Caenorhabditis elegans: one gene and its partner. The protein of the gene in region 2 interacts with the protein of the main gene of each other region in a biochemical or structural test. Each region holds a gene or a part of one and is shown on either strand. Other genes may lie near its edges. The genes, in order: npr-22 and flp-9.

Evidence for each region.
Region 1: of the proteins of flp-9 (region 2) and npr-22, one has a biochemical effect on the other in vitro, tested with the Caenorhabditis elegans proteins (one study listed by BioGRID).

What each region holds. Positions count from the first base shown.
Region 1 is NC_003282.8:8,556,999-8,564,333, reverse strand, and holds npr-22 (Neuropeptide receptor 22), read right to left. Parts: upstream 4,903-7,335; 5' UTR 4,867-4,902; coding exon 4,717-4,866; intron 4,337-4,716; coding exon 4,204-4,336; intron 4,056-4,203; coding exon 3,514-4,055; intron 3,084-3,513; coding exon 2,956-3,083; intron 2,898-2,955; coding exon 2,733-2,897; intron 2,599-2,732; coding exon 2,535-2,598; intron 1,659-2,534; coding exon 1,536-1,658; coding exon of another isoform or gene 1,493-1,535; 3' UTR 1,173-1,492; downstream 1-1,172. Other genes in the region: mpst-6 (thiosulfate sulfurtransferase), read left to right, coding at 1-117, 167-509, 552-730. UniProt on the Caenorhabditis elegans protein: Receptor for the LURY-1-1 and LURY-1-2 peptides which control food-related processes including feeding, lifespan, egg-laying and roaming behavior. Receptor for flp-7 which stimulates serotonin-induced fat loss.
Region 2 is NC_003282.8:12,753,247-12,759,932, reverse strand, and holds flp-9 (KPSFVRF-amide 2), read left to right. Parts: upstream 1-2,362; 5' UTR 2,363-2,430; coding exon 2,431-2,493; intron 2,494-3,962; coding exon 3,963-4,070; intron 4,071-4,981; coding exon 4,982-5,119; 3' UTR 5,120-5,375; downstream 5,376-6,686. UniProt on the Caenorhabditis elegans protein: FMRFamides and FMRFamide-like peptides are neuropeptides. KPSFVRF-amide: Has no effect on somatic body wall muscle, inhibits contraction of vaginal vera muscle, and inhibits the activity of the dissected pharyngeal myogenic muscle system.

The DNA of each region.
Region 1 (7,335 bases), 4.2 Mb from region 2:
GAATTCTCGTCGTATGTTAAGAGATTGGGTGTATTCAACGGAGATCATTTGGTCATCTATGGACGTGGAAAAGATGGTGGTATGGCTGCTGCTTCTCGTGCTTACTGGACATTCAGAGTTAGTTTCAAAATGTATCAGAATAAATTTAAATTCTTTGTGTTTCCAGTACTATGGTTATACTACCGTATCTGTCTTGAACGGTGGTATTGAAGCATTCAAACTTGCCCAAGGTGTCGTTCAATCCGGTGAGAGCATGATCTCATCTGGAAACTATGAAGCTAAATCGGTCGACAACAACATTCTTGCCAAGATGGCTGATATTCCATTCGATAACTTGGCTAGTATCAAGTACTTGGATGCTCGTTCGAAGGAAGAGTTTATCGGAAAAGTTCCAATTGGATATCCAGACTCGAAAGCCGAAGGTGTTCGTTGCAAGGATGCGATTCACTTCCCAATCGGAGAAGTTTGTGCTGCCAAGGGATTCAAGAAGAAGACTGATTGTGATCAAGGTTAGTTGATATCATTTGCAGAAGTTAACTGAATACTTCCAGCCTTCGCCGCCAAGGGAATCAAAGTCGGAGACACCGTTGTCATTGGTTGCGGAATCGGACTCTCAGCTTCAGCTATTTGGCTCGCGGCTGCTCGTTCCGGAATCGTTGCCAAGCTGTACAATGGAGGAGTCCACGAGTTGGCTTACAAGGCGCCACAACATCTCAACACAAAGGGATAAGTGACAATCATTTCTGATTTATTTCTGCATACAACAAGTCGCTGACGGTGTTTTGTGTTTTTTGGTTTTCATATGCTTTACTTTTGTGAAGTGTATGAGAAAATTGAAGAATAAAGATTGAATGAAAATGCATAAAAATTGTTCACTTTGATTGTTTTCTTGTCTGTTTTCTGGAGTGACTATATACTTTAAATATAAGTGTCTGCCTATCAAGACTGCTTATTTCATTTTTCTTTAATAAAATACTTGCATACAATTCACGGAAAATGCATCCCTTCTAAAAATAGACAAATGCCGAATCTCTGTAAATAAACCTTCACACGTGGAACTACAAGCTTGAAACCGAAATCAATCAAATATTTATCTGAATTGCTCAGTAATTTGCCAGTTTACAAAATTTCAGTCAACTCATTGGATTCTTTTAAATCTGTCAGATGTAAATTTGTAGTATTCTAACATTTATTTCTACATTTAGTTTTGAAAAAATATTCAAATAAAATGAAAACACGCAATTTGTATGGTACAAGTTTAAAATATTGGTGATGATTCGTGGATTTGGTGGGGCGAGTATTTACCGGTATGAAAAGCGTTTCAGACAACAATTGATGTTTCATATAAAATTGTTTCTTAGGAGATCTGAGGGGTTTTTTCTTACAATACAATAAAATGGATGGAATATAAACATAATTTGTGAAATTATGCTTTAAAATACAATTTCAAATAACAAAAACCTTGAATCTATGGTCTTCTATAGCTTTCCACTCAAGTACATGGTAGATCAATTTTCTTAATGATACGGGAAAAGCTACGCGAGAGAATTGGCAGAGTTGTTTCGGACGACGACGAGTGGTCGGGCTTCGAAGAAACGTGCCGAACGACATGTTTGCCTGTCAAGGACTCCACTTCGTGAATATCTCGTAAGCGATGTCTGAAAATATTGAAAATTAGGTTGTGGCTAGGAAGAAAGTCGATGTTGTGGAAATAATCAGATTGGAAAATGTGTACTAGGCAGTGGATATAATTGAGGCGTTTAATTAATAAAAAGGGTTTAGAAGTAAAGCATTTGAATTTAAAAACTGTTTTTAAAGTTTTACTTACAAGTTCTTATGGTTCTAGGTTTCGCTAAACTTCATCGGCAAACACTTTCTCAGTAGTAGGGGTTTTCCCTCTATCATTTGGTGGCAAAATTTAGTTCGCAGTTAATTCGCGACAGGCACATAATGACTCAGTAAACAAGCACAATGATTTCATAGCAATCCTGGCTCAATGTGCTCATTATAGGCAGCTTACGAGTCGCAGTATGCGCAATGTCCGATTTTTTTGACGATGTGTAGATAAATCACTGCTCTAGGATTCTGATGGGTCCATCGCAAATTAACTGCGCTGAACGACCTAGGCTGACTTAGAAGATTTTTAATTTTGCTAATTTAACGTACCGTATTTCCTCTCTTAGTAATGCACCGGACAACTTTACTTTGTAACGTTATATATCGGTTTATTTTGAATATATCATTATATCTTTAACTACGAAATTATAGAAAAAGAACTAAAAAATATTTTGTTAGTTGACAATTTTTAAATGGAACAAATGATAACTGAGATATACACTGTCAAAGTTGAACAATGGTGTGCAATACTAAAAGAGGAAATACGATATACTCATAATTTAAAATGAAATTAACTTAATCAACATATTAGTGCATGTGAAGCAGTGCAAAATAAACTTTAAAATGTAAAAATAAAAAAGCCAAGCCAAACAAAAAGTCAAGAAGGACAAAAAACATGGGTTAGAGAACATCCTTACAGCAGGTTTTTCATCGCTTGAAGTCGGATTTATGACACCAGAAAACCGTGAACGGTTTCGAAAACTGAATGATATTGTTGAGTTATTAAAATTATCAAACTGGTTATCAACAAATAAGGTTGATACATAAATAAACTGAATTGCTCCTAACTCTTGGCTTCAATTCAAAAACAGACAACTTTGTAGAAATTGACATACCTTCTGCTAGTATTATCAGTTAAAAGACGAAGTTCTTTAAATGATATACATGGAAGAAGTTTTGAAGAGAAGAAACAGAATCCTTCACGGAAACGGGCATTTCGAATGAAATAGATAATTGGGTTGACCATTGAATGAGACATGGCAAGTCCATGAGCAAACCACCTCAAAATGCGATTTTTAAAACCAAATTATTGAGTCAGATTAAAAGAATATTTCTTACCACAAATACAGAATATATCCCCAACTGTTGATATCTGGATAGAATTCTGGAATGACGTTGATCAGTATAAGTAAAGGAAGCCAACAAAGTGCGAAGAGTGCCGAAATGAGAATCACCATTGGGACCAGCTAAAAATCTTATTTAATTAACAGGTTTCGTTTCTCACGCGGTAATATTTATTGTATTTGATAAAAATAAGTAAAAACGATATTTCAATCTACTGAACAACTTTATCAAACCGTCATGTAATAGGCAGGTAAAATGTAATAACTTCGAACTTTGATTTAATTTTTTTCAATTTTAAAGTTTCACTTAATAATGATTTGGAAAAGGTTATGTCAAAAACGATTTTTGATTATTATTTTTATGCTACACATGAGAATATTGTTCCTATAAATATAGGGGTCGGTTGACTTTGATTATGGTTATTATTATCATCACCGCACTGAGGAGCCATTGATTGTTGCATTATTTCCATATTCTTATTATTCTAATAAATCAAAACTGGGAGTTTTTGAAAGGTTAGGCTTAAATTTTTAATAATTCCAGAAATCTCACCTTTTTGACACTTTCATGTCGATCAACGATCATTTTCTTTGTTGCTCCATTCTGCATTCCTGGTACTCGACTATTCCACATTTTAATTCCAATATGTGTGTAAGTTATTATTAAAACTGCTTGAGGTACAACATATTGTAGAATTAAGACCATTGAAGAATACACTTTTCTCACTTGTTCTCCAGAATCTCCAAAATACGTCCAATTTTCTCCACAATTCGGTAAACCGTCTTGGTCTTCGAAAAATCTCGTTGTGAAGAGTAACGGCAACGCCATTAGGATACTGAATATCCACGTGGCAGCTACCAGATAAAGAGCTCTTCGTCTTGTAATTCGAATATTTGGAGTTAAAAGGAACATTATAGCCATCCACCGATCAAAACTGATAACGACAAGTGTCCAAGCTGATAAAAATACAGCCATTGCTTGAAGGAATGCTAATAAAGAGCACATCATTGAGCCGAAGAGCCAACGTTGATCATCATAAATCAATACTTGCCAATAGCTGAACGGAATGCAGAATACTGATATGAGAAGATCAGCTGCAATTTTAGTTGTTTTTTTGGGAAATTTGCTCAACATCTTAGATTAATTAATTTTTTAAACTTATCCATTTAGAAGCTCATATAAGTTCTGGAGATTTGAAAAATTATAAAAAGTTTTCAAAAATTCAAAAGTAACAAAACCCACCAACTGCCAAGTTCAATATCAAAATATTAGTCGCCGTTCGAAGTCGTTTAAAATAAACAATAACCAGAATAACGAGCACATTTCCATAGACACAGCATACGCAAAGTATACTATAGAAAAGAATACATAACATCTGTAAAAAATTAGTAATAAATAGGTACAAATATTAAAGGTAATAATGTAGTAATTTTATTCATTTTTTACACTTAAAATGGCCTCTAAAAATTATACCGAATTTTAATAATGATAGCACTTGAAAAATTTTCAAAACTTTTTATTTACGGTTCAAGTTTTGAAGAAAACGCTATCATAAATTAACTAAAATAAAAGTACATGGCACGTTAAAATCAATTTTCAGCAGGTAAAATTGGCTAAAAACATGGCCAAATTGCCTAAATATGAAATGTAAAAAAAACTAATTTTAGTTCCTTTTTTCAAAGTTTCAAAACTCTTGTAAAATTTGGATTTTTAGATATACTTTGAATGTATAAGAATATTTTTTAAAAGTCTCACCTTCATACTTGGTGTCAAATGATAAATATGATTCATTTCTTGAACAGCTGGATTTTCAGTTGTCGTCGGTTCGTTTCGCATCATAATTTCAGAGGCTGTCGTCGTGATTCTGGAGAGCAAACTGCTTCCAATACCCCCTCCTTCGTCCATATTTGCTCACGAATTAGATGACGAATCGTTCGATCTGAAATTTAAAACAATTTATTCGGAAAGAGTTTGGGGAAGTGTTCCAAATAAGGAAGACCACTTGTTCATAGAAAACCGAAAATTAAAAACAAAGAAAAAGAGAACATATTTCGGAGAAATAAATGAATATGAAGAAACCAAGAATGTATTTTCTCGCACATTTTTTAGATCAGAAATGTTGAAAGAGAAACCTTCAAATTTATGAGAATGTAGGAGAAGGATAATATTAAGAAAGTGTATCAAATTTTGTTGTTTGAAATTGATTAAAAAGTAAATTTCTATAAAGTGAAAAATTATATAAACGAAGAAGGTCAATTAGCAGTTGGAAAAATAAGGCAAAGATCAAACAAGATTTTTTTGTGATTCTTGGGTTTTCGGAAGCAAAGTATGAGAGAATTAGAGGAACATAGGATGCTCGCAATGATATTTGGATGTTTGTTGACCTCGAAAAATGACTATAGTCTTTGCGGTTTTGTAGAAAAAAAAATATAATGTTTCCGAATCCAGAAAATTTGTTAAAAGTGTGGTATATTCGAAAAATAATTCTTTTGGGAAAGTCCAGTGGGAATTAAAAAAATATATGGCAAAAGTATAGGGAAGGGAAAAACTTGAAGAACTATCCTATTTTTCGCACAAGGATGATTGGGGAATGATTACAAAATGCAGAAGTGATAGTTTTTGATTAATAAATAGGTACATTGTAACCGAAAAATCCAGAAGGTAGGCTGCTAATATCTGTTTTCGAAATCAAAATTAATAAGATGATTTCATCTGAAAATGTGGCAAACTTTCTTGAAATCTGCCATGTTTAAATAGTGATATAGTGATAGTAGTATCTAGTGATCTGTAGTGGTCCCATTTTGACACATGATCCATCAATTTCAATGAGAAAGGTCAAATCAGCCAGACATGTGTTGTATTAGTTTACAAATGAACTTTGCAAGATAACAGGAATTTATGGAAGAAAAATGTTGGAAAAATGCGTGTCTACCGAAGTTTTAGACATGAGTAATATGATCATACGATAGAGTACAAGTACAATATGAATACTTGAATAAAGTACAAACTTTTATTGCAGGGTTAGAGCACGTGCTAAAACTTGAGAAACTTGAACAAAATCAAGTAAAAGAAAATTGTTACAGATTCTTTAAACCGAAGTTTTCCAATTGTATTGTGCTAATTGTATGTTCCAATAAAGAAACTCTAGCTAACTGTTAATTATAAAAATTTAAGATTTTGGATACGCGATTGGTTTCTAGAATTTAATCGAATGAAAGATTACCGTCGTTTTATCGTATTCTTCAACACTATATCTCAATAATTTTAGCTGAATTTAATTCTTATTTGTCTATTTTTTTGTAGAAAAAACTATTGACCAGATAGGACAAAAAAAAACTGAAATTTATTAAAATATGTCTAAAATATGTTTCAATGATGTTATAATCAGGAAATGATAAGGTAGACCTCAGTACATATGACACCTTTCACGTTATTAGCAAGAATGTACATAGATATCTCAAGATTCAGATAGATTACGTCATCACGGCATGAAAATGTCTCAAATGTACATCTCAATTAGCATAAAAATAATTTCTAGAATTTCTGAAAGAAAAAGGAGAAGTATATAAAAATAGGAATAAGAACACCACATCCTTGCAAAATGAATAATAAATAATAAATAATTAATATTGAGTCAACAGAAATGTGTCTGGATGTAGTGCGATGTTGTGAAAAAAACAAGATAAAGTTGACTGAAAATAAGAAAACATTCATGTCAAGTAAGCTTCAAAACTTTGGAAAAGTCTTCGCTTTTTGGAAGTCGTCTATGGCAAAAAGTGGCAAAAACTCAGTAATTGCCACTTTTAAACTGTCAATAAAAATTTTCACACTTTTTATTTTGAAAAGTTGTATTTGAACATTTTGGCATCATAGGAATGGTTTTTGACAACTTCTCCACATCCACCTTCAAAAAAGAAAAAAAGATAAACATTTATAATCAATTCTCCGAACTTAAAATTTATTTTGTTTTACTTCACTCTTGTTTCATTCACAATCAGGTTTCAAACATTACAAGACAGATTCAGAAAGCTGTTGAATAATTTTTAAAAAAGTTCAAAACCCAAGTGCATTCTGCTCAAAAAAAACTTTCGAAATTCAATGAAGAGCAAAATTAATGATATTTTTATTTGTGATGGCGTTTTCTACGTGCATATACTAGTTAGAAGAACCACAACTTTTACTCAAAAAATACTAGTCAAAAACTGGAATTCAGAAATAATTCATCCGACTTTTTCACTTTTTTCACACGGATTTCTGTCAGTCTGCAAGACATTTTCAATAGAATATTTGTTAACGGAAGAGCATAATTGATTACGGTCCATTGGCCAAGAGAAGATATATAGGTCAAAAGTTAGGATGCGGTCAAGAGAACTA
Region 2 (6,686 bases):
AACGGAGTATAGAAGAGGAGTTCAAAATGAAAAATTGAAGACACTTTGTCATTGGCTTTATGGGTTTGTTACTGAAGAGTAGGGGCAGCTGGAGGAGGAGGAGAACAAGAAACATCATTTTCTCGTATTTTCGACAAGGACATGCAACATTGTTCTTTCTTGCAAAAATGGGAATATTTTTTGATTTGCAAACCTCCTAATCGGCATGTTAACGGCTGAAGCGTTTTGAGGGTGTCTCTCACTCGCCCTTTTAACGGTAATCTTGTGTGTCATGTATTGTCACATATTTTAAACCATCAGTATATTTTGTGTTTTTATTATTTAATTGAATTTTTTTAAAGGTAATTTCCGGCCTAGAGTGAGGCGAGGCTGGTAAAAAACTAAAATGAAATTTCAATTCTGATTTCACGGCTGAACTTTTATCGGATCTTTTTCTGAAATTTTATAACAAAATCCCAACATCGAAAAACTTTATGTTTTTAAAAAATTGTTGAAGCTTTATCTATCCGTCTCCCGCGAAAAAAATTCCTAAGAAGTCCCGCCGCTTATTGGCTTAGCCAAATTTTTTCGTTTTTTTTTTCGATTCATATTTTAGGGCTCCCGCTGGAAATTTTTCGGAATACACTATTTTTTTGTGGTCAAAATTTGAGAACATCTGTTACTCTTTAATAAATTCTAGTTCACATAAAAAATTTGAATTGTATTCCAATCATCGTGCACTTCATTTCAATCACCCACCAGAACTCCCACCTGAATTCAATGAATACTCAGAACGAGTAGAACTTCATATTCAAATTGAATAAACTTTCAGGTTTCTTTTTTGAATACCCAAATAAAGAGATTCAAAGAGGGAGGTGTAACGGGAAGATATTTTTGGTTTTGAATCTGAATAGCTATTATTTTCAAAAAATGATCAAAATAACTTTATTTTGTTAAGGCTGATAATAGAGAAAATATTGGTATTTGGCATTGGGCACATTTTTTTATATCTAAAACTAAAAAGTTAACTTTTTTGTTACGAAATTAGATTTTTTAACATTAGGAACAATAAAGTTTGTCGGTTTTCTTTCAAGTGGACCCGCCTGCCTGTCTTTTAGTCGACATATAGGCTTGCTCTTGCCTTTGCAATTTTGTCAGTTTTCAAGAAATACTGTAAGATTTTATATTTTGAATACCTTCTTAGAATCCCAGGTTTCCTAAAATATCGTATGCGATTTAGATTAGTTTCTGAAATCACAAAAAAAAATCTCTTTACGAGTTCCTAGAGCAGTATTACCAAATATTTCTATTTCAGTGAGTATATACCTATTTACGTGGGCTTTAATGACTTTCAATTATATATTTCTGATTTGTTTTATTAGAATGGGGAAAACGAGAACTCATTGAAACAAAACACATGAAAATTGATCTTGTCAAAAATATTGCAGAAATTTGAGCAAATTGGCAAGATGTGTGGGTGATCTGCTCAAAAAATGTCCTTCTGAGAGAGAAAAAACTAAATTAAAAAGTCATCATAGGCAATTTCATTTTGTCGAGAAATACCATAAATTTTTGGCTACATTTAAAGATTTTTTTAGAAGAATTATATTTTTCTCGCGTTTTTTACCCATTTGCATGTGAATTTTAGAATGAGTTTTTTGCTATTTTTTCGAATTCTCGGCACATGGAAAAATTTGCGTTAATCAATTTTTCTTTATTTCGGTTTCGAGTTTTTTCTCCTGTTTTCCATAAAAATTATAATTTCACTGTACATTTTCCAAATATCTTTCCGATTTTTCCATTTATCAAATCATGAAAAATTTTCCGCGACATATTTAGCACCTAAAAAATATAAGACGGTTAGGCGCGAGGCGGCCAGTTAAAAAGGACTTGAAAGACGGCTTTGTGACGACCAATCTTTAAAATGTTTTCAATAACAAAACCCATAAAGGTGTATTGTCCAAAAAGATTATGACTATTTAGAGGATTATTTAAATCTGATTTTTAAAATAATTGAAGAATTATGTTATTTTTTGGATTTTTAAAAAGTTTTTTTTATACCGGTAAATTCCATTTTTCTTTCCTATTCCTCCTACAATTTGAACTACGATTTTTTCAAAATCTCAATATAAAGTAGATCCTAAATACTTCCTACAGTACCACCATATTTCCCTGAATACTTCCTGATTTTCAAATAAATCTACATAGTAAAGTGCCCCCAACCTACCGAACCCATCATTATCACTTCGAGTCTTCAAAGTGCTCACACGTCATTCTTAAATGTGTGTGTATGTGTGTGCTCAGACTCCGCCCATACGTGTGCTCTCCATTCTCTCTCAGGACTCCGCCCCCATCAAGGCTCACTTCTTTTTCTGGTCTCGTTTCCAGAGAAAAACCCAGCAGCATCGTCTGAAGAAGGGTGAAACATTTTTTGTTTCAAAGAAGAAAAAAATGAATCAATTTTATGCACTATTCCTTGTCGCCTGTATTGCAGCAATGGCAAATGCCTATGAGGTGAGTTAAGATCGGAAAAATATAAATAATCTAAGATCATATTTCTTTCCGCTTCTAAAATTTGTGTGCTGAATTTCTTGAAGCGGAAGGTTCAACTTTTTCGAAAAACGAACAAAATATTATTTGTGCCCCTCCCCCCTGTGCCACCAGGCTCGAAATGAAGCCAATCGTGTGCAAAATAATAGAAAAGGCGCCACCTATAAAATGTGTTTTCGTAAATAAATTTCAAAGTGACTTTCAAGTGTATCTTTGAATTTTTAACAGTAGGCGAATCCTGCCTATTTTTCAAATGTAGGCGTGCCTGCATGTCTGTTAATTACCTAAATTTTGGAAGGTGCTTGTGTAATATACCTGCCCCCGTGGAAATGGTTTGCATTTTTAGGCTTACATTGAAAAAACAGTATTTCTAACATAGAAAGTCTAATAAGTAAGCCTAATTTGGACCAACATGGTCATTAAAATTTTAAAAATGGCTAACATTTTTGGGGCAAAAGACATACCTCAATTTAAGCTGAATTCTGTGAATTTTATTTTTTTAATAGCCCGAATAGAATATTTGTTTTCAAACACAAGATTAGTTTATTTCTCTTCAAAGAAACGTTGAGTCTGGAACGAAATAGCTGAAAAAAAAACGAAATTCGAAATTCTAGGGCTTCGTCTCGTCATCCACTTTCCTAATAATTTGTCGCGATGATTAATTTTTGGAAGCCCATTTTTACCATTTTTAAAAGTTATTACCCCTATCGCAGAATTTAGGTGTGATGAGCATGGTCCGACAGCTACCGGGTTTCGCGCCAAATTATAAAGCATGCGTGTTTTAAGAGGTTAAAAATAGTGCGGCGCGGAACCGGGCAGTTGTCGGCCGAACTTAGAAATTTGAGATTTGTTCAGAAAATGCCACCAGGCTATCCGAATTTTTTCGAAGTTTTTTGACCTACGTGGATATCCGCGCCTTTACATTAACCAACTTAAAGTTTACATATTCTATAACTTCCTTATAGTTTCAACACCTATTTTCATCCAGTAGCAACATCCGTTTTATGTAATACTTTGAAAATGTTAAAGTGAGCCACTAATGAGCACAAGGATTACATTCTTCGTCGTCACCCTTCTCCTTTTATTTTGCTGCTTTCGATGCTTCAGAGTGATGCTCTTGTGCTCAGTCTACCGTTCAAAATCAAATTTTAAGATTCTTCTATCTCTTTTTCGTACAAAAAGTTGATTAAAGTGATGATGACATCATTCAAAGTCACGAGAAGTTTAAAATTGATTGAATAAACAAAACAAAAATCCGTAAGAAAACCTAGACATACCCTATTGGGAGATCGCAGGGCTCACGGGTTGCTCCTGCTACTGCTCGACGACAAAAATCTCATTAGTTTTTATTGGTGCGGCGGGTGTAGATTTGCGGCGTTGATTATACGTGGGAATATGTTAAATTACATACATACTTGAGCTCTATTTTTCAGGAGCCAGATTTGGATGCACTCGCCGAGTTCTGTGGAAAGGAATCGAATCGAAAGTACTGTGATCAAATTGCACAACTCGCCACTCAGCACGCAATCGGTATTAATCAGGTGAGAATGATGACGTCATACTGGGACCTTGAGATATTGGCGGCCACGGTCGCATTGACATTAATATATTCTATATTCTTGAAATAATTTTTTGAAAATTAAAGACAAACTCAAATGTAATGTCCTATTCTAAAACTATGGCCAATTCCATTTTACTTACAAAAAATTCAAATTAGCGCTCAATAAATGCGCCGACCAATCAGCGACCTTGGTCACGCCTTTTGCACGTCGCTGATTGGTCGGCGTTTCGTTTTTTTTAAATTTTAGCGGGATATATTGAAGTTTCAATAATGAAATTTATCTTCTAAAAAACACATTTTGAGGAAAATTTTCGACTGAATAACTTTTTGCACATTTTCGGAATTGGGGAGAAAAACATCTAAGAATAAAATAAGAAAAGGAGCTCCTCAAAAATTGATAAATTCCAAAAATACACGCTTCTCTGAAATGTTAAATTGTGACTAGAAGCACTGAATAATTATAAAGTTCATGTTATAGAATTAGAAAAATTATGATTTAATTTAATAAGAATATGGTAACGGCCTCAACGCGACAGAAAATGTTTTAATGGAGGCTACGAAAAGTGTATGCGCCTTTAAAACATTATTTTTTACACACTATTTTCGAGAGCCTTACTTTACATTTTTTAACGTTTCTAGATCAGAAATGCCGTTGAAAATGTTATATATTATTTGCTTTTTCAGTTAAAGGAAGTTTTAAAATTATAATTTTTGAAAAATCGTAAGAAAAACTAAAAATGGTCATCTCGTGACTTTCAAAAATAAATAAAAACGTCTCGTCTAAAAATTGCGGAATTCCCCACAACTGATAATGAGAAAATATTAATTCTGCCACCAAACCTATAACTTCTTGTATTTATCTAAACAATTCAAGAATTTTCTAATTTGCAGGAGCAAGTCCGAATGGAAAAGCGGAAGCCGTCGTTCGTCCGTTTCGGAAAACGTTCAGGATACCCGCTGGTAATTGATGACGAGGAAATGCGTATGGACAAGAGAAAGCCATCATTTGTTCGATTTGGAAGAAAGTAGATAGATATGTCTTGTTGATTATTCTGGAAACATCTTGGATCTATTTTTGATCTCTCTCTCTCTCTCACACACAGCTGCTCACTACGTTTTCTTCTCGATTGTTCCCATCTAGATTTCTGGCCCTCATACCGTTCATTCATTCTTCTCTCCCATCCCCTTACCCCTCTTCAACTTTTATGGTAACCTGAGAATTTGTGAAAATCAAAAAAAAATCAAGTTTTCATGTTGATATGTGCAATAAAATGTGTTACATGTGTGTGCGTTGGTGCCATTTGAATCAGGAAATTTTTATCATTTTTTTATTTCAAAAGGAATTGCTATTATAAAGGATTATCTCAACAAAACATAAAGATTGAGTTGTTTGCTTTTCACTGAAAAAAACTGAAAATTTGAGAAAAAAAAATCGAAAAATCTGAACTCCCGCGCAGAACAGAAAGCGTCGACCAATCAGCGACAGAGACAACGCCCCTTACGCATCGCTCATTGGTAAGCGAAATAGAGTTTGAGCCTTTAAATGTAAGGTGTACAGTAGTTTCCATTTATACATTTTTGTCTGGAAACCTAATTAAAGCATGGTGAACTAGAAAATTGCATTGCGAAATGTCTAAAAAAAAGTTTTTTTACTGCAAAAGAAATTACTGTACTCCTTAAAGGCACACACTTTTTTTTCCAAATTTTTGTGTCTATCGTTGCATTGGGTTCTCAGTTTTGTGCTCAAATAAAAATAGATTCAATCTTTCAGTGATGCCTGTAATTATTTGAACATTTTAGGAAAAATTGTATTTCTAGATAATTATTATTTTTTGAATATCCCCTTTCGTGTTTCATACCTAACAATATTCCTTCGCGCGGGAATTTAATGATCAGCAAACTTTAAAGTTTTACACACTTTAAGGATGACTTCTTTCTGAATACTTGGGAAAAACAATACTTGATACATGTGTGGGTGTTTTGGTGTCATTTAAACCAGAACATCTTTATCTCAAGTATCGTTAAAAATCTAAATTAGCTTTTTTGAAAAAGATTACTATAAGATGGATTATTTGAACAAAACATAAAGCTTAGAAAGAGCAAAAGTCGTTCAAAAAAGGATAAAAGCACATATTCCGTCATTACCCGATTCCTTTTCTTGAATAATTCACGATATGAAAACGAGAATGAAAATATGAAACACACACACACACATACCTTCCGAATTTATTTTTTATAAATTCTCTCATTTTTTGTGGATTTTGTTATGTGTCTGGGACCGATTGTGGGTTTAGGAGTTTAGTGTTAAACAAAATTTCAGCAGTCATTTAACGACAATAGCAATAGAATTTTGGCGGTCACATTGTATAGATTTCACCTAGTGACAGTTTTTCCTATGTTTGATATTTTTTCCCGAGCCGTTTCTCTCTATTTCACACCTGAATATCTAATTATTCACGAAGACAGAATATGTTTAAAACCGCGGTGTAATCGAACTCGGAAGTTTTGCGACCAATATACATGTAAAGGGTTTAATTTTTTTAAATGATTTCTGGAATTGTTTTAGATCAGTGATTTTTCCTAGAAGCTACGCCAG